7 linked regions of the Xenopus tropicalis genome follow. The protein of the gene in region 4 purifies or fractionates together with the protein of the main gene of each other region. This does not show direct contact. Links are inferred from orthologs where the notes say so. Each region holds a gene or a part of one and is shown on either strand. Other genes may lie near its edges. The genes, in order: stip1, vps13b, bag5, dnajc7, dnajb1, pld2 and bag2.

Region 1 (4,708 bases), on a different chromosome or scaffold from region 4:
TGCTGGCTATGATAAAATAAATAAGGTCTTGACAGCAAAAGAGCGAGAAATGCTCATCTAGCTTACACTAGATTAGTCAAAGCTAATTGACTGCTATGGTTTACTGCACTGCTACTGCTAAAAACCTATGTTAGCCCTAAAGTATACAACACATATGGTTAAACTGATGGTTCCACAACAATGAGAATGACGTTCTGAGAAACTGTTCTCAACTTACGTGCCAAGATCAGATGGTTTGTTTTTCAACTGTTCAATCAGTTCTTTGTAACTGGGGTCACTCAGCAACGCACGGGTACGAGGATCAGACTCCAGTTTTTGGTATAAGTTTGGAGAGTTGAAGGGATTCATGAATTTTCTCTCTGAAGAGGAGTGGGGAAAACAGAGGGATCAGTGGGAACACTGTCTGGCTTCTTCATCTTATGGAAGAAACAGAAAATGTTATAGTACCTGCCAGCCTGGCCTCCATATTTTGCAGCCCTTCTTTCAGCTGTGCATTTGCTGGCTCGTGCCTCAGCCCCTCTTCATAAGTTTTCTTTGCTTCTTCAAAACGATTCAGAAATTCTAAAGCTGCTGCTTTCCTAGAGTAACCCTAATAGAAAGATAACAATAAGACACTTATAGATATACACAAATTATTACCAACAGGTTTACAGGTCACTACATATGCTTAGCTCTACAGCTCCCACCTTCCCCCAGTCTGGTTTCAGCTCCACGGTTTTGCCGCCATCTTCCAGTGCTTTGGTGAACTCTTTCTTTTTGGCAAAGGCTGCAGAACGATTGCTGTACAGGACGTGATTTTTAGGGTCAAGTTTGATGGCTTCGGTGTAGCATTTGACTGCTTCATCCAGATCCCCTGCTGAAAGTGCTTTGTTTCCTTTCTCTTTCAGTGCGTTTGCCTGATGGGAAAGAACAGGGACAACAATTTTGAAACATATACATAACGATATGTCATTTGTTATAATGAAAGTATGTACAAAGATATCAAATCTCTATGCCTTCCACTGCTGCTTAATTAACTCTTGCGCCACTGGTGCCTGGAACTAAATTGCTGCCACCCCCACTCTGACTCACTTTGGGCAGCGTGGGCTGAAAAGAAAATTGAAGGGAAGGGGAAAGCAGAATTTAAACATGTCATTGCCTCAAACTATGCCTTGCTAGGCACCCTTGGCTCAAATAGTACAAATAATAACATGCTCAACTGCAGGTTGAATATAAAAATAAGAGATATATACATAATACATAAAAAATATCTGGATCCCTGTGTACCTATAAAAAAAATAAATAAATAAAAAAATTCTTTTTTTGCCTAATCCTGCAACATGCATAAGAAAATAAAGGTTCAGTTCAGTAGAAAGGAACTGGTGACAAACATAAATAATAATAAAATATGCATGATATATTTCTGTTATAGCACAGGTTAATGTTCTACAGACATTTTTGTAGCTATAATTCCCACATCAGGGGATTCCCAGCCCTGTGTACCATTAGCCTAAAACTTGTGGCCCACGGCCATTTTATACACTACTGCCATACAGAGATAAAACAGCAGCAGGCTAATTGCCCTTCTACCTGTCACTGCTCTGAACAATGAGCTGCGATAGGCAGACAGGGGTATTTTGAATGCTGCTGTTGTTCACTAGATGACAACATCAAGCAAAACACCCCATATGCCCCTTGCCTAAGAGGAATAGGTAAGAGAAAGGACTCCAATTCAATTACCCTACTTATGCCCAGCTGTGCCAGCGCTACTTTCTTTTCCAGGAAACCAACTAAATGTAACATAAAAATTATCAAGCTGCATACTGTGAATCCCTCTCCATAACACTTGTAGACAAAGAGGCCAAAATACTGGGGCTCATTTAATAATGGTTTGGGTGCACCTGCATCTGAGGCATATTTGCTCTCTTAACTACCTCACACTGAATGCAGGCAGTGCTGAAGTCATGGTCAGGTCCTTACTTGCACCTACATGTGCTGATGGAGGGACAGAGTGCAAAGTAACAATAACACTGACTTGCATCTGTGCACCCTGCCACTGCATCTGTATATAAAATGACAAACTATTAATATGAAGATGTATATATTGCAAATGTGAAAGTTCATAGGAAAGATCAGATGGCAGGCTGGCCAAGCATGTAAAGTTGGTACATCGTCCTTTGCCATTGCTGTTCTATGGTTATCTTCTGACTACACACAACTGGAAATTTGTTTCTTTGGGCCAAACCGACCAAAATGGTTAAACCTGTCCAGTCTATAAAATGTCCAATAGCCATGGTACAAACATGTCTCTTCTAAATGCTACTTGGACACAAGGACTGGGAGGGAATTTGTACTAAGTCGTGTACTTACTGTCAATACCTTTAAGTTTATAGCCGTCTTAAGAACTGTAGTTCATTTCTACAGAACCCACCCTTCCTCTTTAATAATACTTGGGATTCTCTCTTACAGATTTCCCAGATGACTATGCCAATATAATTGCCTCAGTAAAAACTTTTATTCAAAGATGTAGACGTACACATACAATAGCATAAATCCAGATTAATCCAGATTTTTAAACGTTTTCCTTCAATATCTGTGTCCCATCAGAAACTATTCAATGTCCCATCACAATGCAAAAGTCTTATTTCTAAATTTTAGGGTAACCAAAAAATTATTTTGCTGTGGGACCCATGAACTTCTTACTACACCAGAGATCACCAGTAGCTGGTGGAGGGAGTTCCAAATAATGACAATTTTATTAGGTGAACAATACACAGTAAACCTTTAGAATAAATAAGAGTAGGGTTGATTAGCTAAGTTGCCTACCATATGGCTATACAGAAACCAGTGCAGTCTGCAGGCTGATGGTTTTACAGGCGTAAATCCCAAGGAGAAGCATGGAAACTAGAAACAAGGGTGAGCTATTGCCCCTATTGGAGAAACTGACAGACGTGGCATGAGATGGCAGAGACTGGCAGAAAAATAACTCCTGACGCCACAATGCCAGTACGGCTGGAAGCTGCAGTTCTGCAACTACTCTTGCACTGAATGCTATTGAGGGCAGTTACCAATCGTCTGAAAGGAAGAACAGCTATCCCACATAGCCCAGACCCTCACTCCATGACTTAATGACTGACCCACAAGTATAAATTCCCCGCAACTATGGAAAGCTTACTTGTCCCATAACGCGGAGCAAGTGTGTGGGTTAGCATTTATAATATCCCCATCACTCTTAACTAACAATTTGCCACTTACCGCCTCCATTGCAACCCTCTGATTCCGACCTCCCCACGCGTCTTCTCGAACCTACTAAACGATGACAGTTCAATTCCCGCCTACCGAGTGTGCAACTATTGGGCGAACATTTTAAGCTCCCTTCGCTGACAGGTCAATGCTGTTATCCATCACGTACCCACGCCCCTTGCTGACTCTCCCAGCAAGACTTCCTTGTCCTTGTTTTATCCCGCCCATTCACTACTTCTAAAGCCGATTGGCTGGCTGTAAGCTCACGCTTGGGGAGAAATTGGCTGGAGGATTCTGGAAGCTTCTACTACGCCAATTGGTTGCTACGAGGGCCTAGAGTTCTGATTGGTTTTAAGACCCCACTTGTTTCATTGAGGAAAAGTGATGTCACTTCCAACCAACAATGTGTTCGGTTGTACAGAGCTGCAGGGACACTACCAATACATCTCTCACATTTCTTATACTTACTTTTCTTGGCCCTAGCAGGGAATTTCATTTATACATAATAACCTCCATGGTCAGCAGTACTGAAAAGGTTCTGAATCCCTTTGTGAATACCTTTTTTCACTATGTTGTATCTTGTGGCTCAGATTCCAGGATCATCAGAACCCCAAGAAGAAGTACTAGTGAATTGTGAGCACACTAGGGGGCTGATTTACTAATCCACGAATCCGAATGAGAAAAATTCGGATTGGAAAATGAACATTTTGCGACTTTTTCGTATTTTTGCGATTTTTTTCGTCGCCATTACGACTTTTTCGTAAATTGTAGCGACTTTTTTATAACCATTATGACTTGCGTGAATTGTCGCAACTTTTTCATAGCCATTACAAATTTCGTGAATTGTCGAGACTTTTTCATAGCCATTATGACTTTCGTGAATTGTCGCGACTTTTTCATAGCCATTACGAATTTCGCAAATTGTCGCAACTTTTTCGTATTGAGCGCTCGAAAAATTTGCGACAATTCACGAAAAAGTCGCAAAATACCAATCATTACGAAAAAAACACATTCGGACGCTTTTCGGACGTTCGTGGATTAGTAAATGTACCCCTAGGTGTGCAAGGAAGGTAACTGAATTAATAGGCCAGTACCCTGACTAGACGCTCAAGTACAGTGATCCCCAACCAGTGGCTCAGGGACAACATGTTGCTCACCAACCCCTTGGATGTTGCTCTCAGTGCCCCCAAACCAGGGAGTTATTTTTGAATTCCTGACTTTGTGGCAAGTTTTGGTTGAATAAAGTCAAGATTTACTACCAAATAAAGCCCCCTGTAAGCTGATAGTGTGCATAGAGGCTGCCTAATAGCCAATCTTAGCCCTTATTTGGCTCCTCCATGAACTTTTATGATGCTTGTGTTGCTCTCCAAGTCTTTTTATATTTGACTGTGACTCATGAGTAAGAAAGGTTGGGGGTCCCTGCTCGAGTAACATTTTCAGGTTCCCCAATCAGGCCTGGATGTGTGGGATGTGGTGTAACTATCGG
Region 2 (4,224 bases), on a different chromosome or scaffold from region 4:
CAAACACCCATACTGTAAATGCAACAGTATGCATGTCAGTGCAGATCTCATTGGGGTTTGATAGCATCTGTATCTCAAGTCCAGGGATGGACTTGAGATACGAGTCTTTTTCGGCGATTTCCTGAAATCGCCCCGCCGCGTCTGCCATCCCGCCGGCGACTTACATGTTCGCTGGTGGGATGGCAGGGGTAGGCAACTCGGGGAGATTAGTCGCCCGCGAACAGGGAGTTTTGCCGCGGGCGACTAATCTCCCCGTGTGCCAGAGCCCTTAGGGTTAAGCAAAAGCAGTGGTCTATTATCACAGCAAATTTTACGACATGACCAAAGTTCATATCATGATTTAATATATCCCTTGTGAAAAATAAATCCCCAATCAGGAAATAATTACAGGCTTAATGATAAATATCCCCTGTGTTTCACAATGCAGTAGGCAGTTTTAATGTTTTTGTCACAGAAAATTGAGAGTTCCATTCTATGCAGAGATAATAATACAGGTAAAGAATCTATTTTCCGGCAAGCGTAGAACCTCGGAGTTCCAGTTATGGGCTCTTTCAAGAGTTTCAACCTTCCTTAAATCTACTAAATATCATATGTACATGAAAAAAAACCAATAGGATTGTTTTGCCACCGATATGGATTTATGCAGCGTAGTTAAGTACAAGCAACTGTTTTAAAGAGAAAAAGATCAACAGTAAAAATTAGAATTATTTGTGGATCCTATACCACTTATTTCTATATGTCCCTATCACATACACACACTATGGGCAATTTTTATCAGGAGCTTGTATGTTTGTGGGAGAAAAGAAAGGAAATTAGAGAATCATATTTGGGACCCAAGCAGTGCAAGACCTCTCACCACCATACTGCCTCTTTTTTTTTTATTTAAGCTTCAGCCACACCTGGCCTGGACTGGCACTCAAAATAGTCCCTGGCATTGCAAGTACATAGAGGCCCTAACAAACCCACACATGTCCAATAAATAGTGATTATCTGTGGCATCTTAGCAGGCTCTCTGGCCTTTGCCAGAATCCACAGATTGCCAGTCCGAGCCTGAGCCATACTGTGTTGGTGGGTTCTATATTAGACTTACCAATATTGAGGGAGCCTAAGAAGTTTGCCATAGAGTGCTGTGCTGAAGGAGGGGATCACTGGCACATGGGATGAACAAAGCCCTTTGCTGTCTATAGATATCAGTCCAGCTTGAAAGCCAAAGACCTGAAAAACACAGAAACTGATGCCAAGATGCACAAATATAGTACTTCAAACATTTGTGAACTGCAAAAATTTGGGGGGTTAGCATCATTATCAGATTATTATATTTAAAGAAATAAAATACAGGAAGAGACAGAACCAAAAAATTATGAGTTTTTAACCAATTTATAAAGATGGGGTGCCAACATTTACTTCCTGAAGCTAGCATGAAAATTAGATTTTATCCCGAATCAATAATCCCTCTCTCTCTTGAGAACAGAAGCAAAAACAAAAATGTTCAACATTTCTGCCATACTTCTTTGGTTAGGCTTTAGTTCTCCTTTATGCCTGCCATGCATGCACAGATTTGGCCTGTAAATTCAGCCTATTTCAGCTGCCATATTGCTGAGGATTTCCACATACCCACCAATAAAAAAAGTGGTCATACTTCCATGACACTGTTACTATTTAAAGCCACAGAGGCAATTCTGATGAGACAAGCTAGCTTCAGATTTACAAGCCAATTGTAGCCTATGGAAAATGATTTGTACTGATTTGGCAAGCCCCTTATAGATTTGCATTGCACTAAAATGTGCCCAATGCTTAACTTTTTTTCTGGGTTGTAGCAATTGTATCAAGTGTTATAGCTTGAAAGATACAATTCTGAAAAATTGGCACATTTCTTCAACGAATGTGCCAATTCGTTAAAACACTTTCCTAACTGTCAGGAAAATATTAATAAATGTGATAAAATTTGCGGCACTAGAAAGTCATTAGGGATTTTATATGAATTCTTATTATTGCTAGAAAATAAAAAGTTTTAATCTTCGTAAACTCTCTGCAAAGTACCAACTTAACGCAAAGATGCTAATTTTTTTGTATATGTGTCTGCGGTATAGACACAAGCACGCAAACATATATATGTGTATATAAACCAGTCAATGTTACATACCTTCAGATAGCAATGTGCATAGCAGTGGTGCAGCAGGTTATCCGACGGCTGGCTGAGGCTGCTTACAGTTTGTACAAGCTGTTCTGCATACATTGGCACTGAATGTTCAAAATTGATTTTGTCAGCGAGTATTTTGATGGCAGGCAGGGGCCGTATTGGCTGAAAACTTGTGTTTAACGTGGCAGGGCTGGCATGCTGAAGAGAAAGAGAAATAAAAATAATTTACTTTAGTTTCATTCTGCATGGGTAAGACACATCTACCTAAATGGGAGACTTTTATTAACAATGACAACTACATAGGAAAATGTTAAGTGCAACCTTCATATCCCACATTGCCAAATAAAATCAATGTCAGAATAACAGTTTACATTCCTTGGCTGAACACAAAATCTGCGGCAATAAAAAAAATCTGTCAAATATTTATATATCACATGGCAGCAGGTAAGGAAACTGTGCATAATTAAAGGGCCTGTAACACGCTCAAAACTTCCATGGGAAAAGCTAGCTGCCCCAGCTGGGGCTGAAGTGTGCCTACATTTCATTTGTTCTGTACAGAACAGACTAAGGGTGAAGACACATGGAGCTACTAGTAGCAGCTACTTGTCACAACTACTAAAATAGACAATGCTGATAATTGTCTCTACCTGTGTTTTAGCAGAGGCAATTTTCTGTATTGTCTATGACAGGATATTTCCCGTCGTTTAGTAGCCGTGCGTACATATAAATGAGTGTTGTGTGCACGTGATTATAAGCTGAATGCCCAATCCTGCCAAACAAGCAAACAGCAGCAATAAATTGATATGGACATGCAACCAGCTGCTCATACTACTATGAGACCACATATATGGTGGTGACTTTGGCACTTCAGCCTGAAGAATCTAGGTGCCTGGCAATTTGAATGCAGGCTATGTCAGCTCACTGCTCTAGTGAAGATAGTTACAGCCTTGTATCAATAAAACAACACAACAGAATGCTATGCAGGGCTCCCTTTGTGAAGATGTCCTCCACCACGTTCAATTCCCAGAAGTAAAAGAAGTCTGTGTCTGCATTGCAGCACCCCAGCACCATGTAGTTTGTGTTTCTCTCAGGAGCTACAGGCCATCTGGGCAGAAATATATTGTTATTGGCCTCAGCTGAGTTAAGTGAAGTGAAAGAATTTAAAATTAATTATGATCCTGAATGGTAAATACTTCCCTTATCGTGGCTGATTAGATAAATTTTTTTTGTAGGCCAAACTGCAATTTATGACTGTTAAATGTATAAAATCCCAGATTAAGCTTGCAGGAATTTACCTTTATAGTTGTGCCCACAAATCAAGTAATGGTTTTTCTACCAGAGATAATTTGTTCTGCTTGCAAAAGATCAAAAGGGGAAGGGAGCAAAGTAGCTGAAAGTGAATTTAAGAATGGGAAAAATGTAATCAACTAGTTAATTGTTTGGAAATTTCATGCGTCTTAATTAAATGCAACATATTTTCCAGTCATAACGTGTAAATAATACTGAGGTGATTTAAAGATTAGTAGAAAGATAATTTTCCTGATTATTGTACTGACATGGGCAACATTTTCTTATCCATATCACACTTGCCTCCAAAAGATACTACAGACAGTTTGCTCCGCTTATCAAGTAATCCAACATGGCCCCAGAACCAACACTGATCTTCACTGCTCTTCAGCCAACTGGGATTTAAGCCAAATATGCACTCAATTTAATTTCTATTACTTCTGACTGTTCTAGCCATACGTCATATGATCTGCTTATTTGGTGACCTCCTTTAGGAGAGATTCGGCTGAATACCAAACCGATTCCAAATCCTAGCATAGGGAAGGGTTAAAGAGAACTTCTGTGTTTATGTGATAAAAAGTCACATGATTTTAAGGCTTTTTGCTGAAAAATGCAGAATCTTGGCCAAATCCCAAACTGAATCCTGCATCCCTATTGTTATTGTTTTGGAAGTGTTTTGTATACTCTATCCGTCTATAAAATGCACCCAAACATAATCATATTCTTCTACTTTGTTTATTAATGAACACAAAGCAAAATCCATTGCAAGATCAGAAATCTTTTCTGTGTATTCTGTA
Region 3 (4,224 bases), on a different chromosome or scaffold from region 4:
AAAAATAATTTAAACATTAAATAAACCCAATGGGATTGTTTTGCCTCCAATAAGAATTAATTATATCTTAGTTACGATCAAGTACAGTCTGTACAATTAGTACAGAGAAAAAGCAAATCATGTTCAAGTTTATGGGAGATAATTTGGAGCTTTCTGGATAACAGGTTTCTAGATAATAGATCCCATACCTGTATTATCATATTTGAAATTAATGTTGTATTCTTTTAATTTTTTTGGCCAAGAGCTTGTGCAAGATTTAATGCGATAAAATGTGAATTTTTGTATATCTTTTTTTAAAAAAAAACCTTATTCAATTTGAATTTTTTGCCCATTTTGAATAGCATGTGCTATGCTTTAAGAATGTTTTCGCTGTCTGTACAGAATTACGAGATGCACATTTTGGTTTGTGAAGCACATTCTCTAAATATATAATGACACAATGGTGCTGATTTATTAAAAAATGAGTTTAGAGCTTAATACATGAAAACCCACATTCACCCTTAATTTCTGTTTATTACTGGGTAAAAGTTAGAGTTCATCATTTGATAAACACACTTCTAAAAATCCCATAGGAATTAACAGAAATCAAGCTGAACTACATCTTTTAATTCTGCATGTGCTGCAATGTCTATTTTGTAATTAGATACCTTAAACGCAGCAGCCTTTTTACACTGAACAATATAATTAAAAATGTACATACTATTCACTTGTGTACATAACAATGACAATGTTGTACCCCCATCAAAAAAGACAGAACTTTTATTTAAGAATCAGCACAAAAATGAGAAGAGAGATACAACTAGAAATATGCCACTTATTGTTCCACTTGATAAAGTCAAACTGGGATATTTAGCATTAAACATTCTATAATTTTTCGCCATTGGTACATGAAAACAAAAACTGGCTAGCTTTTGACTGAAGCTTTGTTTTATGACAGATAATTGGCTTAGTAAAAACCCTATCTTGCAATGATAATGCAAGGATGAAACTGAGACATCTTTACAGCCATATTTAAAGTGCAAGCAAAGCGAAAGCAGTGTTTTTTTTAGTATTCCCATTCATCAGTTTTCATATCAAGATATCCAAGGATATTATTTGCAAGCTTCACAGCTTGTTTTCTTGCAGCCTTTGTACGGCCATCCTGTGAATCAATGGCATCAAGAGCCAGCAATTGTTTAGTAATAAATTCTTCTAATCTCATATAATTTTTATCAGCTCTCTTCCCATCAAAGAAGAGGACTTCCTTTTGAAGTTCAGATAAATGTCCAAAGACAGTCCATACAGCTATATAACATGGAGGCTCTGAGACTGTGTGTTCTGGTAAACTCTGGCGCTTTTCGAGAGCTTCTTTTAGATCAATGTAGGTGATGACAGTTTGGACCTCAACTACAGCTCGTCTTCTAGCTTCACGAATGCAAGGATTCCTCCCTACACTAACTTCATCCAAGCTAGCTATGAGGCCCTGCAGCTCTGACTTTGTACCCATATAGATGTCAGACATATGCTGCTGCACTTCTAAAAGACTGTTCTTTATTTTTGCTGCTTCTTTGCGAATCTCTTCTATTTTTACAATTGACTGGTTTTGGCCCAAGTCATAAGCACTTCCCAACTCAGCTTCATCCTCTAAATCCAAATATTTCAGCAAACTGTTGATTTCCTTAACAACTTCTTTGCGATACTCTCTTATGTCTGTGTGGCCAGAAACATCCAGAGCATCCAGGTTTGCAATTAATCCAGTAAGAGTGCAAGATAAATGCCTGTATGTTTCATTGTCATTGACGCCAGCTAGAAGAGCTATGAGACTGCATCTGGCTTTGTTCACATCACACATAATTGAGTTAATTTTAGAAACTGTTGGATGTGCCTCAGCAGAGAGAGGGAGAGAAAGTACTTGTTGTTTAGAAGAGCTTTCTAAAATTTCTTGAATGGCAAGAACTTTAGTTAAAGTTCGGTACCTAGCTTTTCTTAGAGGGATCTTTCCCTCGGTTTTTACTTGAGTAAGTCTTTTCAAAATATTCTGAATTCCTTCCTCAAATTCATCTGTTCTCTGACCTTCCCCACTAAATTGTGTAGTATGTAGCGCTACCAAACTCTGAGTTTCACTAAAGATCTTTTCGATCTCAAGTCTGCAAGGATGGGTTGCATTCTGCTCCAGTTCCTTTAAAACTCTTTCTGTCTCTTCAGTAGCTTTCTTTTGGGCTTGTAGAATGTTTCCTTTTCCCTCTGTCTCAATAGATTCTATTTCAAATAACTGTTTAGTTAAATCTTTTTCAAGCTTTTTATAAGTTGGGTCACTCTTTAGACCACTAAATGTCACCACTTGTTGTTCAATCTCTTTGACCTTCTTCTGTATTTCTTGAAGAGCTGTGACTGAAGCATGTTGATTACCCATATCCATACTCAATACAGCAATTTCTTAGAAGATACTGGTGCTAAAAAAAAAACCAAAAACAAAAAGGTAAAGATGCCATTCCTAAGACATGTTTATTTAAACAAAAAACAGGTATTGTCTAACCATTACATTACATTACATTTATTTATAAAGCGCCAACATATTCCGCAGCGCTGTACAATAAGTGGGTTACATACATTGGACATACAGAGTAACATATAAAGCAATCAATAACCGATACAAGAGGTGAAGAGGGCCCTGCCCAAAAGAGCTTACAACCATCTCTTCATCCATGTATATATACTGTATATATATATATATATATATATATATATATATATATATATACTGATTTGAATAATGTTGATTTGAATAAAACTTCTATATTTTCTTAAGACCTGTGAGTGCGGACTCTCTCTACAGCTACTCCATCTATTATTTTGGGACTGCACCCAGGCTCCCTTGGACCTACTTATACGTGAGTGCCTGTCTTCTTGCAACATGCTATATATATATATATATATATATATATATAATTGAAACCTATGCCCCACGCACTTCACTTAAAAACTGGAAGGATTTTTCTTAAACTGTTTTTAATAAAATAATGTTCTAGTTATACTTTTCTTTCTCCTCCTCTATCTCCAAAAATTCCTGCATAGAACTTAAGTATGAAACTATGTAGCTAAATTAAGTAGAAAACTGAATCCCGTTTAGCAGAAAGTACTGGCCATGATGCCCTCTTACACTTTTCCATGCTCACACAAATTTTGAGGCCAGTGCACACAGCACACCAGTGAATCTGGTGTGAAACATAAAGGGAAGATAATGCTAGTTAGTCAAAGTTTATACCAGTGCTGTCCAACTTCTGCGGTGCCGAGGGCCGGAATTTCTTTAGCATACACGGTGGAGGGCCGCTAATGGAAGCCAGTTTTGGCCACTCCCCTTTTTTTGAACCACACCTACTTCAAACCACACCCATTTTATCACAATGGTGGTAGTGCACCAAAAACCCAAATGCTTGGTCCTCACTGCGGGGATATCAACAGTTATTCATATGTGAAAGAATTATATTATGTCATATTAAGACACACCCTTAAATCCATATGCCTCCTCCTCCCCTGTGGATAGCACAGCAACCCCCAGCAACATAATTACACACCTTAGGGACCATTTAATGGCTGTTTCCAACTACTAACAAACTCCCAGAACAAACCCCTGCCAGGTTCACCTCTCACAGGCAGCATAGGGCAGGCAGAGTATGGCATACACAGACCTCCTCTGATGAAGCGCCACACGGTGCGAAACGCGTTAGGAGAGTGGGTAGCATTAGGCACTGGGATACCCCTGTCCTTTTTGGTATGATTTATATGTTAGTTTTTGTTGTATTTATTTAAGCCAATAAATGTTGTGGTTTTTATTCCATTTAAATTTTTTGTTGTTTATTCATATGGCATACACAGGCAGCACTCTGCCTCCCTTATGCTGTCTGTGTGTGCCATACTCTGCCTGCCCTATACTGCCTATGTGCCATACTATGCCTACCCTATGCTGCCTCTGTGTTCCATACCCTCCCTGCCCTATACTGCCTATGAGCCATACTTTGCCTACCCTATGCTGTCTGTGTGCCATATACACAAGCAGCATAGTCCAGGCACTACATACAATGTCTGAGGTGTGAACAGGGGAACAATGTGGATGATTACAGCCTGAGCCTGAGGTGTGAACACTGCAGGGGGTGAACAATGCAGAAACTAAAAGGAGTGAAAAACACAGGGGATTACATGTTTAAACAATACAGGGGGATTACAGCCTGAATCTCAGGTGAGAAC
Region 4 (4,224 bases):
TGAAAAGTTGCTTAGGATAGGCCATTCTATAACATACTAAAAGTTAAAGGTGATCTACCCCATTAAGCCACACACACACTGATCATAACTACTCAAACACTTTAGTTATCCTTCTGTGCTCTTAAAATATTCTTAAGCTATAAATGTTGGTGGGTTCTATATATATTATATATCCATCTATATCTATATATCCATCTATATCTATATATCCATCTATATCTATATATCCATCTATATCTATATATCCATCTATATCTATATATCCATCCATATCTATATATATCTATATCAGGGTTGGCATTTTCTACTCATACAACCAATGACAACACTATAAAATCCCCCTTTGCTGCCCACACTGAAGATCATTTGAAAGTTCCCTTGCTGCCACTTATCAGTTGATTCTTGCCCCACAACAATATTTCATATGAAAAAAAATGACTTTTTCTGTTTCCTCATAATTTGGCCCATCCCGGCAGGAGCAGAGCTTAAGGGGAGTAAAGCCCATGTCACTTCGGGACAATGGCAGACTCTCTGAAAGGGTCCATACACAGTGGCTGCCGGGCAGTAATGATCCCAGATAAACCATTGCCTGGTATTAGTTGATAGAAAATGAGCACATAAAGCGGTAAGTAAAATGCTCGCCTTTGCATTGACAGTGCCACGGTTACAGTACAGTTTTGCATTCGTTTTGATATTATTGGGGTCTATGCAGAGTGCCTCTGAGTAAAGTCTGTGAGCAAGGTCATAGTTGCCATCTTTAAACGCTTGGTTGCCTTCCTCTTTCTTAGCCTTCAGAGCCTTGGCATTCTGAAAAAGAAGTAGAGACCCTTTGTTACACATCTAAAAGAAATTAAAAAACCATATTATATCTGCATTTAATGCCAGAGAAAAACAAGTGAATACATTTTAATACAAAAACCCCTAACAATTCTAAGCAATTCTCAGTTTTGTCTACGGCAGGGGATTTTCCGGAATTTAGTAGCTGCTACTAGTAGCCCAGTGTGTCTTCACCCTAAAGGGAAAGCAGTCTCTGGACATGGATCTATAGGCTCAGCAGAAGCACAGGCTGACACTTATCTGGATCCCAACAAGTAGGAGATTAATAGCAGTTATTGTTGTATAAAATATATTTAAAAAAATATATATATATAGAATAATAATTTCTCACTGAGAATAAATTGTGTGGGATGGAACTGGAGGGCCCAGGCTGCTTTCCAGTTTTTAATTTTCTCGTTTTATTTAGTTTCTGTTCTCCAGGGTCCCACCTAACACCCTCTGTATGCTGTTCAACCCAACTCTCTCTCCTTGTCTGCATGTTTCTATCACTTAAGGATCAGAAAGAAAAACCAAAAGCCATATTATATATTTATCTGTAACCACGGCTTACTCTGTAAACTTACCCTACAGGCTAGACGGGCTTTCTGATGATCAGGGGCCATTTTCAAGGCCTGCACAAAGAACTGCACAGCTTTTTCAATGCAATCTTCATAGTAAAGACAGAGCCCCCGAACATATAGAGCATCTGCATTTGTGGCATCCATCCTTAGGATATCACTGAGGGGAGAAAGCGGGGGTCAGATAAGAACTAAACACAAAATAAAGGGAATTAATGAAGACCCACAAATAACAAGTCTTGTTCAAGCACATTAAGCCCACAAATACAAAACAATGACATACCCAAAGCAACGATAGCAAGCTTCTATTTAATTTTGTACGGATTCTTCAGCTTAAATACGTATTCAATTACTTATTGAAACGGACCTATACGTGCCTTGTAATAGCCAAATATTAATGAGCCCTAGTGAGGCACAATTCTTCTGAAAAAGCATTTAAGAGGAGTGACAAAAGCCACAAAACATTCGGCCGAATCTGAAAATAGTGGATTCTGGGACATGGCAGGGAAGGATGGAGGGGCTGTGCTAGCGACAAGTGAGGTTCGCTAAACGCAAACGCTTTAGATCTTCTGTAGGGGTGTAGGGGGAATACACCCAAACCCTCGGGATTTAGGAGAGCAGTTCGATTATTTGCCACCAACTTTGAAGTTTTTAAACAGGGATCACCGACCCCAGCACCCAAACAACTATTGCTCTGCGAGGCTTCAGTTTTTTATTGTTACTTTTTTTTTTTACTATTCAGGCCCTCTCCTATTCATATACTCTCATCCTAGCCACTCCCTGGTTGCTAAGGTAACTTGGACCCTAGCAACCAAAAAGCTGCTGAAACTCCAATCTGGAGAGCTGCAGAACTGTAAATGAAATAACCAAAAACACTACAAATAAAAAAATGAAGACCAATTGCAAATTGACTCTGAATATTACTCTTTACATTATATTAAAAATGAATGAAAAGTGGAACCCCCCCCCTTTAACCTGCAATCATATTGTACTGCTGCCACTCTTGATAACAGATAAATTTAATGGAGAAGATTTACTTACACAGGAGTAAATTGACACCAGTTCTGATCACGTGACTGCAAGCTAGATAGCGATAGTGACTGGGGCAATTTATCACTTGTGTAAAGCCCCCCATACACGGGCCGATTGTAGCTGCAGATATGGGTCCCTTAGACAGATTCGGCAGCTTATCGGCCCGTGTAGGGGCACTAACGACAGGACTGCCCGACCGATATCTGGCCTCCAATCGCCCAGATCTCGATCGGGCAGGTTAGAAAATCTAGTCGGATCGGGGACCGCATTGGCTCATTGATGTGTTCCCCGAACCAAGTTTGCCTATACCCGTTGTTCAGGGCCAAATGATTGAATTAGCCTGGATTCTCCCGATATCACGCACCCGTAGGTGGGGGATATCGGGAGAATATCTGCTTGCTTGGCGACATCGCCAAGTGAGCGGATCAGCCCGTGTATGGGGACCATTAGTCAAATCATCCCTAATCTCTCCAACAAGTCGTATTCCTACCTGGCCACAGACTGAGCATCTGGGTAGCGACCAAGAAGTGCTAGACATTCTGCCTTGAGGATTTTGAAGCGATGGCAAGCAGGGGCCAGCTCTAATGACCGATCCATGCAGAACACAACCTGTCGTATTGAGCACAAATATAGTAAAATAACGAAAATGCAACAAATACTAAAGGCAAGCCATTCCTTGGTTAATTACACAATTGTAATACTGTATTGATTTGCATACAATAATTAGTAATCTTTTCTTATATCAGCTGTGAATTAGGAGTTGACTCTCTAGATTTGCTTTACTATAGGCACAGTATTATATATAGTGTATAAAGTACCCCCTACTGTAATATATAGGGATATTATAAGTCACAGAGGGGTTCCTTATAATATATAGTGAATAAAGTACCCCCTACTGTATAATATAGGGATATTATAAGTCACAGAGGGGTTCCTTATAATATATAGTGAATAAAGTACCCCCTATTGTATAATGTAGGGATATTATAAGCCCCCGTGGAGTTCCTTATAATATATAGTGAATAAAGTACCCCCTATTGTAACATATAGGGATATTATAAGTCCCCGAGGAGTTCCTTATAATATATAGTGAATAAAGTACCCCCTATTGTAACATATAGGGATATTATAAGTCCCCGAGGAGTTCCTTATAATATATAGTGAATAAAGTACCCCCTATTGTAACATATAGGGATATTATATGTCCCCGAGGAGTTCCATGACCATAATAAGGGACGAGGCCTTATGCAGAGTGCATTTTTTACAGGTCATGGAACTCCGAGGTGACTTCTACTATCCTTATATTTTACAACAGGGGGTACTTTATTTATTATAATAGACAAGTTTTAGCAAGTCATGTGGCAGAAATTACATCACTAAGCATTTCCTGGCCACAACAGTTTTGTTTTCCCTCAACCAGAGTGAGGGCTCTAGAGAAGCAGGTAATTTATTGGCTCTAGAGAAGCAGGTAAATTTATGGGTTCTAGAGAAGCAGGTAATTTATGGGTCCTAGAGAAGCAGGTAAATTTATTGGCTCTAGAGAAGCAGGTAAATTTATGGGTTCTAGAGAAGCAGGTAATTTATGGGTCCTAGAGAAGCAGGTAAATTTATTGGCTCTAGAGAAGCAGGTAAATTTATTGGCTCTAGAGAAGCAGGTAATTTATGGGTCCTAGAGAAGCAGTGTTTAAAGAGTGTGGCTCCCAGAGGAATAGAGTAGCATACTGGACCTAGGATAATTGTATGTATGTATATCTTTATTTATAAAACGCTACTTATGTACCCAGCGCTGTACAGTAGA
Region 5 (4,874 bases), on a different chromosome or scaffold from region 4:
TCTCCATATTTATCAAACACTTCCCTCTTCTTAGGGTCACTGAGCACATCGTAGGCCTCCGCAATCTCTTTGAATCGATCCTCAGCTCCCGGGTCCTTGTTCTTATCTGGGTGATATTTAAGAGCTTGCTTTCTGTACGCCTTCTTAATCTCTTCCTCCGTCGCTCCTTTGGGGATTCCAAGGATTTTGTAGTAATCCTTCCCCATGTTGGCAGGTATTCTATTACCCTATGAAGATACCTGCAGGCAAAAAGGTAATATACATCGGTCAGCCATTGCATGCAAACCAAACTTAAAAGCAAGAACTAAAAGCCCAATAAAGTGAAAGTAAAAGAAGGAAACACATCCTTGACACGACGCACAATTTTCAGAAATGCACAATAACAGGGTTATGCAGGTACATAGGAAATACCTAGCCAGTAACCCATAGCAACCACATACTTATATTTACATGATTCTTCTTGCAGGGTTGTGGTACAAGACTAGCAACTTACTAGTAAGGGCTAAGACACACAAAGCTTCTTGTTGTGGCTACAAATATAGACAATGCTGATCATTTACTGATAATTGTCTCTACGTGAATTTTAGCAGAGGCAATTTCTTAGTATTGTCTATGGCAAGGAATTTAATTTTCTGGTGTTTAGTAGCCATGACAAGTAGCTGCTACTAAGTAGCTCTGTGTGCTTTGGCCCTAAGGGTGCCCACAGTAGCAATAACACCACAAAAATGAAAGTGTTACAAAGGGGTTGTTCAAGGCTGAGTTAACTTTTAATATGATGAAGAGAGTAATTTTCCGAGACAATTTGCAGTTGGTCTGCATTTTTTTTTTATTATTTGTAGTTTTTTAATCATTTCAGTTTTTGTTCAGCAGCTCTCCCGTTTGGAGTTTCAGCAGCAATCTGGTCTCTAGCCTCCAAATTACCTAAGCAACCATGGTGTTGTTTAAATGAAAGACTGATATATGAATAGGAGAGGACTTGGAAGAGAACAATAAGCACTAAAAAGTAACAATAACAATTAAACTGTAGTTTCACAGAGCAATAGTTTTTGTTGGCTGCCGGGGTCAGTGACCCCCCCGTTTAAAAGCTGCAAGGAGTTAGAAGAAGAAGAAGGCAAATAATTCAAAAACTATAAATAATGAAGACCAACTGAAAAGTAATGAAAGTATAATATACTGTTGCCCTGCGCAGGTAAAAGTTGTGTGTTTGTTTAGAAAGACACACGGGGCGATTAGTCGCCGCAACTTTTAATTAAGTCAGTCGCGGCAACTAATCGCAGTAGCTCTTCTGCTATAGGATAGAATAGCAGTCGCTGTGACTAATCACTCACGAGGTTTCGCTAAGCAGATTAGTTGCCATGACTAAAAAGTCGCGGCAACTAATCGCCCCATGTGTCTTTGCCCCTATAGTTTATATAAACAAAGCTGCTGTGTAGCCATAGGGGCGGCCATTAGAGATAGAAAAAAAGGCACAGGTTACATAGCAGATAATATATAATCTCTATAAAATACAATGGGAATCTGCACAGATTATCTGTTTTCTGCTATGTAACCTGGGCCTTTTTGAAGCTTTTTAGTGTAACAAGCACACCTGGCTGGGCACTCCCTGCCTGGCACAGCACCTACGGTATATCCCTGTAGGGTGTGATACTTCCATTAGGGTGGGGCCCATATTTCTACCAATTAATGCTGATTTTGCTTTCTGTCAATCCTGCTATGCCCCCAGCACTCAGGCCCTTCACATATAAACATTATTTATGGCTATGCAGGGATTTCCATCCAATTGTTGCTGAGCTTTGATCTCCATACCCCTCTGGCAGTGATGCTGAGAGGGGTAAGCAGCCAAAAAAGGGTATTGTGACAGGTTACTCCAGGGCTGTACAGAGAGTAAGGAGACCAGCTCATCCCACTATTTGGGGCCAGTACATAATAGTATTACACAAGTTTCCCAAATGAAATAATGCCAATGGGCTCCCTGCTGAGCAGTACAGGTATAGGACCCATTATCCAGAATGTTCAGGACCAAGGGTATTCCGGATATGGGGTCTTTCCGTAATTTGGATCTTTATACCTTAAGTCTACTAAATAATCAATAAAACATTTTTTTAAACCCAATAGGATTGTTTTGCCTCCAATAAGGGGTAATTATATCTTAGTTGGGATCAAGTACAGGTACTGTTTTATTATTACAGAGAAAAGGGAATCATTTAACCATTAAATAAACCTAATAGGGCTGTTCTGCCCCAATAAGGGGTAATTATATCTTAGTTGGGATCAAGTACAGGTACTGTTTTATTATTACAGAGAAAAGGGAATCATTTAACCATTAAATAAACCCAATAGGGCTGTTCTGCCCCCAATAAGGGGTAATTATATCTTAGTTGGGATCAAGTACAGGTACTGTTTTATTATTACAGAGAAAAGGGAATCATTTAACCATTAAATAAACCCAATAGGGCTGTTCTGCCCCCAATAAGGGGTAATTATAACTTAGTTGGGATCAAGTACAGGTACTGTTTTATTATTACAGAGAAAAGGGAATCAGTTTTAAAATTCTGAATTGTTTGATTATAACGGAGTCTATGGGAGACAGGCTTTCCATAATTTGGATCTTTCTGCATAACGGGTTTCCAGATAAGGGATCCCATACCTGTACTACACTACCCAAGTACAGCTGCCCCTTGAGTACCCCCCAGTTAGTTATTATGGGTTGATTCAGGTATATAGACTCCCCCCCCCAAACAACAATGAGCTGCCCCATTCCCTAAGCCTATAGATATGCAGGTATACCCGGGAATTACTGGTCCCGATTTTACTGTAACTGCCTCATATTAGGAGAATTATGAGAGTAACTGACAGAAGGCAGAAGGGCCCCTAACAACAGACACACCATTATCCCCTATGCAGACACATTCTGTTCCTTTCTCATTATCTAACGATCAGTGGCACCCCTATTGCCCATCAGCAAATGGAACATCCCCAAACAGCCCGGCAGCGCTATACGCACAGATGTGCCAGAAGCCACAGACAGAGCAATACCCCATCCCGTCCCGCAGTACGTACCTTAGCACCAATCGCTTGTCCGTATGCTCCTCCTGTCAACTCTCGGCCCCTCTCTTGTAGGTGCAGCTCCACCTCCAGAACCTTCCAGATCTTTCTTCCGTACTCTGGCAACGTCGCCTGTCCGCCCCCCCTCAAGCTGACCAATCAGACACTGGAAACATTATTAGGGTCACGCCCCCATGCAGAGGATTGGCGGAGAGGCGACTCAGTCAGGCATCGCTTTTCCGTGAGAGCCACGCCTACTGATTCTCAGGGCTGCTTATCCTGACTGGGTACCTGCCCAGCTGGTTATTAGTAAACATACATCCATTTCCCAGAAGCACAGCAGCTTTGTGGCACTCCTTGTTTAGGTTATTCTAGGGAGGAAAATGATAGTTAAAGAGATACTGTCATCATTTTTATACTATATGTAACACCTATTTGGCCTATTTAAGGACCAAACCCAGGCTAGTGATAGGTATAGAGCATGTGTTACATGCGACCTTAATGCACAGGAGTGGGCCTCCGCTATATGGGAGGTACTAATGGAGCTGAGGGTGTAGTTGTACTACAACTAGATAGAGCTTATGTGGTGCAGATAGAATAATGGACGCCAGAAAGGTTCTTTCTCATGAACTATAGTACAAGTTTATTGGACAAGGCACAACTTAATAGTGCCGCAGGGATTATACTAAAAAGTCGCGGCAACTAATCGCCCCATGTGTCTTTGCCCCTATAGTTTATATAAACAAAGCTGCTGTGTAGCCATAGGGGCGGCCATTAGAGATAGAAAAAAAGGCACAGGTTACATAGCAGATAATATATAATCTCTATAAAATACAATGGGAATCTGCACAGATTATCTGTTTTCTGCTATGTAACCTGGGCCTTTTTGAAGCTTTTTAGTGTAACAAGCACACCTGGCTGGGCACTCCCTGCCTGGCACAGCACCTACGGTATATCCCTGTAGGGTGTGATACTTCCATTAGGAAGTAGGAGCTTTGTGGCACTCCTTGTTTAGGTTATTCTAGGGAGGAAAATGATAGTTAAAGAGATACTGTCATCATTTTTATACTATATGTAACACCTATTTGGCCTATTTAAGGACCAAACCCAGGCTAGTGATAGGTATAGAGCATGTGTTACATGCGACCTTAATGCACAGGAGTGGGCCTCCGCTATATGGGAGGTACTAATGGAGCTGAGGGTGTAGTTGTACTACAACTAGATAGAGCTTATGTGGTGCAGATAGAATAGAATAGTTTATTGGACAAGGCACAACTTAATAGTGCCGCAGGGATTATACTCACAGACACAGCAGATTGAATGGTCACAGAGGATAACAGCAGATGTGACCCTTAAGGAACAGTATAACCCACTTGAAAGGATATGCAGAGTATTAGCTGTATACCAGGAATGGATGCCCTTTACTGGAACAGATCCCCTCCAGCCAACTATGGTTCAGGGTGAGGAACTGCCTGAATCCTGCGTCTTAACTGTGGTCCCTACAGCAAGGCATACAGAGCCTGGGTTAGACTAAACCCTTACAGTCTCCTTTGATGGGGCTAGCGCTGCCCTTACTAAATAAGCTGACTATGCTCACCACTCCTAGAGGGTGCTATTATATAACTGACTGTGCTGGCTAGTTCTCATTCACGGGGCCCTGTCCCCGACTTACAAATGGCTGGTTCTCTTTACTGGGGCCTAATTGCCTCAGGCTCAGTGACATGCAGCCTTAGGACAACAGCAGCCAAAGAGGAAGACACTTCCTTGTGCAAGACACTATATAGTCTGCCAAGGGGAGTGGTCAACCTGGCTAAACCTATAGGGGGTAG
Region 6 (4,162 bases), on a different chromosome or scaffold from region 4:
ATATGTCAGACCTTTAATGTGTCTTATTTGTGTGGCTAATGGGTATAATGCGCTGGCAAAGGGTACAGGGACAGAGGGTAACCCTGTCTTATTCCTCTGGTAAGGGAAAACGGAGAAGTAGTTCCGTTCACTAGGTCTTCCTAGAGGTGACTCCATTCCAACGAATTAGAGAATTGAGAGCACATTTCTAGAGCTTTTTTTTTCTGAGGAACAAGTGTAGGTTGATGAATAGTCTGCAAAGATGTTTGATGAGCAGCCAGACATAAATCCAGATTGGTCAGGGTGAATTATATCTTGCACCAATTGCTGCAGTCTACTGGCTAGAATTTGAGAGATGATAGCGACTTATTAACGGTATGGAGACAGATGTTGGTAACAACAGAGTATCCTGTGTTTGCTGGAGGGTTTCGGAGAGATATGTTTGGTTAGGGCAGGGATCCCCAACCTTTTGTACTTGTGAGCCACACTCAGATGTAAAAAGTGTGGGTGAGAGCCACGCAAGCATGAAAAAAAGTTATTTTGAAAAGTCAAATAAGGGCTGTGATTGGCTATTGGGTAGCCCCATGTGGGCTGCTGGCCTGCAAGAGGCTCTGCTTGGAGGAAAACTGAGTCTCTGGGCTTCCAAAATTTGCCCCCAAGCTAGAAATTTTAAAATGGGCACCTACTTTGGGAGCAACATCAAAGGGGGTGGTGAGCAATATGTTGCCCCAGAGCCACTGGTTGGGGATCACTGGGTTAGGGTCTTATACCAGTGTGAGGGTAGGCAATAAGAGCCAGGTGTTTTGTTCGATAGTAAGGAACCAGTGGTGGTGACAATCTCTTCTTTTGAAATTTGGCAATACAAAAATGATAATATAACTGGAACTGGTATGGTGTCTAAAAAGTGGTTTAGTTGTGAGTCGACGTGTGTAGCTATAGATGTGTAATGTATACAATAGAATTTGTCAGGTTCTTGGGCTGTTGGATGGCAACCTTGCAGTTGCTATAGCTGTAGAGGTTGTGTCTTGGCTAAGAAGGCTTGAAGTTGCGTTGAGTTTCATAACATTGAGCATTCTTGGTTTGGGTGGTCTCCTCTCTTATTCTTATTACGAGATTGAGGCAATTTAAAGGAAAACTATACCCCCAGAATGAATACGTAACCAACAGAGAGTTTATATTATGTTAAGTGGCCTATTAAAGAATCTCCCCAAACTGGAATATATATATCAGTAAATATTGCCCTTTAGCATCTTTTCCCTTGAGCCGCCATTTTGCGATGAGCTGTGTGCTCCCTCAGAGTTATTCCATTGGCCTATAAGGATCCCGTTATGCAAGCTGTGGGCCAGTAAAATGATAAGATAAAGACAAGCTCCTCTTCTGGAACTGCCTAATTTCCTTTTGTGGCTTTTCCTCAACTAGATGTTCCGGTGCCTCCCCGCCGACGCCGTGACCAGTAACCGTACCCTGCAGGAGTACACTGCCGTAAAGAACCTGGCAGCGCTAAACCCTGGCCTAGCTCGGGAGCAACTAACTGGCATTAGGGGCCACCTGGTGGAATGCCCCCTACAGTTCCTGTCTGGGGAGAATCTCCTTCCCCCTCTAAGCAGCAAGGAGGGCCTGATATCCTCTCAGGTTTGGACGTGAGCCCTGGGCACGGCACCTTGGACTAATGCACTTTGTTCTTTAGACTCACCTTAGGGTGCTGGACTAGTAACAAGAGCAGCACCCATGTTACTCGCTAAACTGCACAGAGTATTGCACTAGCCTTTACAGCTCTCAGATACTCCACTGATTGCCACCATGTCCGTTACTGTCTGCCACTAATCCCTGATACACACCCTGTATTAATCCCAGTCCCACACACACAGTATCCTGTATTAATCCCAGTTTTACTCACACAATATCCTTTGCTAATTACAGTGCAACATGCAAACTATTCTGCACTAATTCCAGCTCTACATATGCAGTATCCTGTCCTAATCCCAGTCCTACTCACAGTATCCTGTCCCAATCCCAGTCCTACTCACAGTATCCTGTCCTAATCCCAGTCCTACTTAAAGTATCCGGTCCTAATCCCAGTCCTACTCACAGTATCCTGTCCTAATCCCAGTCCTACTTACAGTATCCTGTCCTAATCCCAGTCCTACTCACAGTATCCTGTCATAATCCCAGTCCCATACACCATATCCTGTCCTAATCCCAGTCCTACTCACGGTATCTTGTGCTACTCCCAGTCCTACTCACAGTATCTTGTGCTACTCCCAGTCCTACACACAGTATCTTGTGCTACTCCCAGTCCTACATACAGTATCCTGTGCTACTCCCAGTCCTTTTCACAGTATCCTGTCCCAATCCCAGTCCTACTCACAGTATCTTGTGCTACTCCCAGCCCTACACACAGTACCCTGTGCTACTGCCAGCCCTACACACAGTATCCTGTGCTACTCCCAGCCCTACACACAGTATCCTGTGCTACTCCCAGCCCTACACACAGTATCCTGTGCTACTCCCAGCCCTACACACAGTATCCTGTGCTACTCCCAGCCCTACACACAGTATCCTGTGCTACTCCCAGTCCTACACAGTATCTGTTCCTAATCCCAGTCCTACGCACACTATCCTGTATTATTCCCGGCTCTACACACTCCATATAACGTACTAACCCCAGCTCTACTAATATTAACTCTACATAGACTGTATCCTGTACTAATACCAGTTGTAGATATGCACAATTCAACCATTTTAAGATTTAGCCGAATACTGAATTCAACACACAAGCAAAATCACATAATCGTTTAAGAAGTCATGTGATCACTAGGGTTGAATTTGGTTCAACCAGGGCCTCGGATTCGTCCAAAGCATTGTGTGCTGTTCTGCACCCACAACGTACGTGGCACATCCTGTACTCGTTGATAGGCGCTATACACTAATACTGTTCTATTGCAGAACCATGCGCGTAGCATTGTCCGCTCGTTTCAGCGCTGCATGATCATTTTATTTATGGACTATGCAAGTATATAGAGTTCATTTTGTCTTCCATGGTAGGGGCTCCGGCTGCTACTGCACGGGGTTTGCACCACTCTCTCCGGGGGGAAAACAAAACAAACAGGGGAACCTTTGTAGTCAATAAACTTTGTACTTCTTTTTATGTCGTTGTTTTCCTTTTTTTTCTAAATTCAAAAAAATCGAATTTTAACATTTTTCCAAATGAGAAAAAAACTCTAATATCCCAAATGTGCGCAAATCTCGATCACTAAAAAAACAACTCGAACGGAATTTTGAAAAGACGTCTCCCATTGGCTTTTACATGAACTCACCAGCTTTTAGACTGCGATTTTTTTTTATTTAGGTTTTTGCTCCTAAGAAATCTTGAATATTCAGTTTTTCGGAAATTCGAATTCACAATTTTAAAAAGTAAAAATTGCAGTAAAAAGTCAGATTTGAATGTTTTTACTGTATATCTGCCCATAGAAGCTAGGAACCAACTTTTTAGGGTTTGGCCGAACCCACTCGATGGATTTGGGCGAATCCCGAACCGAATTCTAATTAATATACGGTAATTAGGATCGGAAGGGGTTACGCGCGTTGAAATTTTTTTTCACCTGACCATTTAACCCTTTCCTGATGCTAATTAGCATATGCAAATTTATGCTAATTCAGATTCAATTCGGCCGAAACTGAATCTTTAAAAAAAGCCTGGATTTGGCCGAATAAGGATAAATTCAACTTTCAGAATTTATTATTTTGTTCTAAAAAACATGCAGAACTACCAAACAAAACAACCTTAAATGAGAGAATTTATATCAAAATGCTACTGTTTTCGAAATGATTCGATACCCTTCTCCAACCAATGGCAATTTAGTCCATCATTTTTGAGTACTGGATACTCTACAAAAGATTTGCTGAGTACCGAACCTACACAACATAAAGTATAAATGGGGACATCCATTATAGCTTATAATCTACAGCAGGGGTGGCCAGACTTTTTCGTGCGACGATCGACTTTGGCTCCTCCCCGCGTATGTACACATACCCAATAAAAGCGTCGCACTTCCACATTTGCAGGCTTAGACGTGGTCCACCAGAGGTCCATGGGGGATCGACTGATGGACCGCGATTGACGGTTTGGCCACCCCTGATCTACAGTGAAGACTGGCTTCTGCAAAAGGCTACGTCTGGATTC
Region 7 (3,439 bases), on a different chromosome or scaffold from region 4:
GAAAATAAGGGGCACAAAGAAGAAGAAGAAAAAGCGGAAGAATACGCTGAATTCGAAGAACAGTATGTTCGGTTTTCAACCCAACATAATAATATAAAATAAGAAATATAGGTAAGACCCACAACCTGCAGGTTACCCGCTTTTCCTGACCTTCTGTAGGTGCAGCAGAGGATGAGAAGTAAAGAGAAGCCATAGCCACTGCAGTTCTGATAGTTTGCACTGTGTAACTTCACTAATGTATCTGTCTATTCTGGCCAAAAGCCAATCAGTCAGATAGCACCGGAGGTCAGACAGTGTATAGCCGCCTTAAGTTGCAAAATTCTGAAGGGGATATATTTTGTTCTAGTTCCTAAATTAAACCTTTGAAAATGGCCTCTGTAGCTCCAGGAATTTTGATTTATCAATTATATGCCCCTGCTTCTTTTTTTAAATGCATTACCTGTGCCAAACCGTTACTGGAACTTTTCACTGGCACTAGCTTGTTCTTAAAATCTTAAGACAACAGAAACATACAGTGCATTCCAAAAATTATCCAGACCCTTGGATCTTTCTCTTATCTCTGTTATTTGTATTTCAAAGCACTTGCACTTGTTAAGGAGTGATTTTGGCCCAGTCTTCAAAGCAGATTTGACCCAGGTTAAGTTATACTGAATAACATTTTGTGCACAGCAGTATTTGTTATTTAGTAAAATGAGATAATCGATCAATTTGTTAGTAAACTGCCGTATAGAACTATAGGTATTTAAAACTATATCTGTTGCAATTCAACACAAACCCAGGACGAATGATATGTGAACATTTAATTAAAGGTGAATTTAAATATGGTATCAGTAGATTTATACCATTTAAATGTCTATCTTCCTGTTTGCAGTTCTTGCAATATCCTTGCAAAAGAAAAAGTAGAGGGTCAGTCCGGAGATTTACAGGTTCTTGGTGTGAATCAAACTAAAAGCAGATTTCTGCCTCTGCTGCTCAAGCAACGTGATTGACTTCTCCGAGTTGTCTATATTCCGGATAAGGGTCTCCAGCCTTCTTTTTATTCTTTTTTGGTCCTCTATTGCACATCCAATAATTATGGACTGAAACTTCTGGTCTACTGGTCCTGCTGGAACTTCCGAGCTACAAGCTCCATACAGTCCCATTAACTGTTTCCTGCCATTTTCCAGGTTGTCCATGACTTTTTTCAAAATTTCATCAATAATCATGCTGGCCTGTTGTAGAGAGGATTCCTGTTGGGGGTTTCTAATGGTTTCTACAGCTACTGCAACAGTAAGGGTGCGGCCCATTAGACGTTCAGCTGTTACAAGTAGTTCTTCTCTCTCCCCTTTAAACAAAAGGCAAAATATACAAAGATTTAAGAATTTCATAGGATTTTTTAGAGCTTAAAGGAAATGTACAACCCCGACAAAAAATGTAATCAGTGAACAGTCTCTTTGAAATCATTAAATACCCGCTATTACGATTGTTCAAAGGTTAATTGTAAGGCTGATGCATCCCTTTACTTGGAATTTATTCACTCCTGTAACCCACTTGGCCCCCTCACTTAGGAACTGACTTTGGCTCTTGGCTTACTGAGCATGCTCAGTTTTTCTCAACTCAGGTTACCAAACACACCCTCCAGTCTAGCAGCCAATGAGGAGATGGCACAGCTGGATTTCCAGAGAAACTCGGCTCTAGCTCTGCACTCTGCTGGAGACACATTTTTCTTCTAACCTCCTTTCCTGAGCTCAGTTTACCCATTACAGTGCCCAATCCAAACAGGACTTTTTACCACAGGAAGTTCTACCTTTGTAAGTCTGCATTTTTATAGCACCCATGTGCTGTTTGCAGATGTAAATGTCACTGAAGATTTGTGAGAGCGAAAGTAGCTGCTGGGTGAAAGCTGCTATTTGTTACAGGAAAATGTGCTGGTGAATGGAGGGGGTATAGATATATAGATATTGTGAGAGAAATGCTGGGTCTTTTTTATTTACAATAGACTGGCATGGCGATGAGCTCTAATGTGGCCCCCTCATACGCCAATTTATATATGGACTCATTTGAGTCTGAATTTATCTATCCTCACTATATGGACAATGTATTGTTATACTGTAGAAATATTGACGATATCTTGATTCTATGGCGTGGGGGCCACATTGGAGTCAAAACGGTCGTTGCCAGTCTTAATACTCTTCCTACTCCTGTAAAATTTACTTCGAATTATGCTAAAGATATGATTGATTTTTTGGATGTTAGGATTTTTCGTACACCTATGGGAGTGGGTACTACTTTGTATCGTAAAGAGACATTGAAATACAGTACTCCATGCCCATAGTTTCCATCCTCCATCTGTGATTAAGTCCATTCCTTACACGCAATTCCTGAGAGTGTTTAGGATTAATACTGACTTTGCAACTGCATCACAGCAAGCCTATGAGATGTGTGACCGTTATGTCGAGAGGGGATACTCTTTGGATTTCCTCCACAGTGAAATGGAGAAGGCGATCAAGATGACACAGGATGACTTACCAAAAGCTTCACTAAACAAGACACAACTAGATCGGATGGTGTTTATTACTGACTATACACCAGGGAGTTACGGTGTTAATATGATACTTAAAAAGCATTGGCCCATTTTGCAGTTAGACTCTGGTCTACCATTTACCCATATGTCTCCTCCAGTGTATGCGTATCGCCGGGGTTGCTCGCTTAGAGACTTGCTGATGGTGACTGATTTGAAACATGAATCATCTGGAACGTGGCTGAAACCTGGTAAACCTGTATGTTTCAAATGCGGTGGTTGCAAAACGTGTGGCTGTTTAATCACAGGCACTACATTTGCTCTGCCCCACACTGGGAAAAAATTCTTGATACGGCATAGATTGACTTGTACCTTGGATCATGTCATCTATTGCATTATGTGCCCGTGTGGCTTTTACTATATAGGAAAATGTGTTACATCTTTCCCCACACAAATGAACAATCACAGATCAGTGATCCGTGCGGCTTTGGCTACTGGTAAGTCTGATATTCCACTTGCAAGGCACTTTACACAACAGAAACATTCGTTGCCCATGTTAAGGGCTAGTTTGATTGATCATATTCCCCCTTTATTGCGTGGTGGTGATTTCTAAACTACTACTACAAAGGGAGGCTCAATGGATTCGAAGGTTGGATACTATTGCTCCTCGTGGACTCTGACTCTGATATATAGTATATTATTCACTTCTCTAACTTTCCCACAATGGGAGATGGTTTGAGTATTTTGTTTTTCACTATCGGGTTATCCCCGCTCTCTATTGGCCCCCATATTTATGTTGATATTATTGATGATCGTGCTTTTAAAAAAATCATGTGTCAATTTTTGTTACTGATGTAATGTATAAATGTTAACTATATTTATGATGCGTGAGTAGGTGCTCCATAGATGGTGTTATGAGAGAGGGGGGTTTTAACAGTG

Evidence for each region.
Region 1: the proteins of dnajc7 (region 4) and stip1 purify together in Homo sapiens (affinity purification with mass spectrometry; 4 studies listed by BioGRID and IntAct, with this or other methods). This does not show direct contact. The link is inferred for Xenopus tropicalis from reciprocal best matches to the Homo sapiens genes DNAJC7 and STIP1.
Region 2: the proteins of dnajc7 (region 4) and vps13b purify together in Homo sapiens (co-immunoprecipitation; 3 studies listed by BioGRID and IntAct, counting the BioPlex papers as one, with this or other methods). This does not show direct contact. The link is inferred for Xenopus tropicalis from reciprocal best matches to the Homo sapiens genes DNAJC7 and VPS13B.
Region 3: the proteins of dnajc7 (region 4) and bag5 purify together in Homo sapiens (affinity purification with mass spectrometry; 4 studies listed by BioGRID and IntAct, with this or other methods). This does not show direct contact. The link is inferred for Xenopus tropicalis from reciprocal best matches to the Homo sapiens genes DNAJC7 and BAG5.
Region 5: the proteins of dnajc7 (region 4) and dnajb1 purify together in Homo sapiens (affinity purification with mass spectrometry; 3 studies listed by BioGRID and IntAct, with this or other methods). This does not show direct contact. The link is inferred for Xenopus tropicalis from reciprocal best matches to the Homo sapiens genes DNAJC7 and DNAJB1.
Region 6: the proteins of dnajc7 (region 4) and pld2 purify together in Homo sapiens (affinity purification with mass spectrometry; 3 studies listed by BioGRID and IntAct, counting the BioPlex papers as one, with this or other methods). This does not show direct contact. The link is inferred for Xenopus tropicalis from reciprocal best matches to the Homo sapiens genes DNAJC7 and PLD2.
Region 7: the proteins of dnajc7 (region 4) and bag2 purify together in Homo sapiens (affinity purification with mass spectrometry; 7 studies listed by BioGRID and IntAct, with this or other methods). This does not show direct contact. The link is inferred for Xenopus tropicalis from reciprocal best matches to the Homo sapiens genes DNAJC7 and BAG2.

What each region holds. Positions count from the first base shown.
Region 1 is NC_030680.2:35,680,120-35,684,827, forward strand, and holds the start of stip1 (stress-induced-phosphoprotein 1), read right to left. Parts: upstream 3,250-4,708; 5' UTR 3,244-3,249; coding exon 3,235-3,243; intron 897-3,234; coding exon 687-896; intron 590-686; coding exon 448-589; intron 360-447; coding exon 218-359; intron 1-217. UniProt on the Homo sapiens protein: Acts as a co-chaperone for HSP90AA1. Mediates the association of the molecular chaperones HSPA8/HSC70 and HSP90.
Region 2 is NC_030682.2:128,808,317-128,812,540, forward strand, and holds part of vps13b (vacuolar protein sorting-associated protein 13B), read right to left. Parts: intron 2,339-4,224; coding exon 2,144-2,338; intron 1,216-2,143; coding exon 1,091-1,215; intron 1-1,090. UniProt on the Homo sapiens protein: Mediates the transfer of lipids between membranes at organelle contact sites. Binds phosphatidylinositol 3-phosphate. Functions as a tethering factor in the slow endocytic recycling pathway, to assist traffic between early and recycling endosomes.
Region 3 is NC_030684.2:98,469,206-98,473,429, forward strand, and holds bag5 (BAG family molecular chaperone regulator 5), read right to left. Parts: upstream 2,433-4,224; 5' UTR 2,399-2,432; coding exon 1,046-2,398; 3' UTR 744-1,045; downstream 1-743. UniProt on the Homo sapiens protein: Co-chaperone for HSP/HSP70 proteins. It functions as a nucleotide-exchange factor promoting the release of ADP from HSP70, thereby activating HSP70-mediated protein refolding.
Region 4 is NC_030686.2:7,162,609-7,166,832, reverse strand, and holds part of dnajc7 (dnaJ homolog subfamily C member 7), read right to left. Parts: intron 3,036-4,224; coding exon 2,917-3,035; intron 1,555-2,916; coding exon 1,401-1,554; intron 808-1,400; coding exon 643-807; intron 1-642. UniProt on the Homo sapiens protein: Acts as a co-chaperone regulating the molecular chaperones HSP70 and HSP90 in folding of steroid receptors, such as the glucocorticoid receptor and the progesterone receptor.
Region 5 is NC_030679.2:134,724,060-134,728,933, forward strand, and holds the start of dnajb1 (dnaJ homolog subfamily B member 1), read right to left. Parts: upstream 3,108-4,874; 5' UTR 3,061-3,107; intron 240-3,060; 5' UTR 207-239; coding exon 1-206. UniProt on the Homo sapiens protein: Interacts with HSP70 and can stimulate its ATPase activity. Stimulates the association between HSC70 and HIP. Negatively regulates heat shock-induced HSF1 transcriptional activity during the attenuation and recovery phase period of the heat shock response.
Region 6 is NC_030679.2:148,025,826-148,029,987, reverse strand, and holds the end of pld2 (phospholipase D2), read left to right. Parts: intron 1-1,398; coding exon 1,399-1,623; 3' UTR 1,624-3,127; downstream 3,128-4,162.
Region 7 is NC_030681.2:95,351,511-95,354,949, reverse strand, and holds the end of bag2 (BAG family molecular chaperone regulator 2), read right to left. Parts: intron 1,325-3,439; coding exon 921-1,324; 3' UTR 784-920; downstream 1-783. UniProt on the Homo sapiens protein: Co-chaperone for HSP70 and HSC70 chaperone proteins. Acts as a nucleotide-exchange factor (NEF) promoting the release of ADP from the HSP70 and HSC70 proteins thereby triggering client/substrate protein release.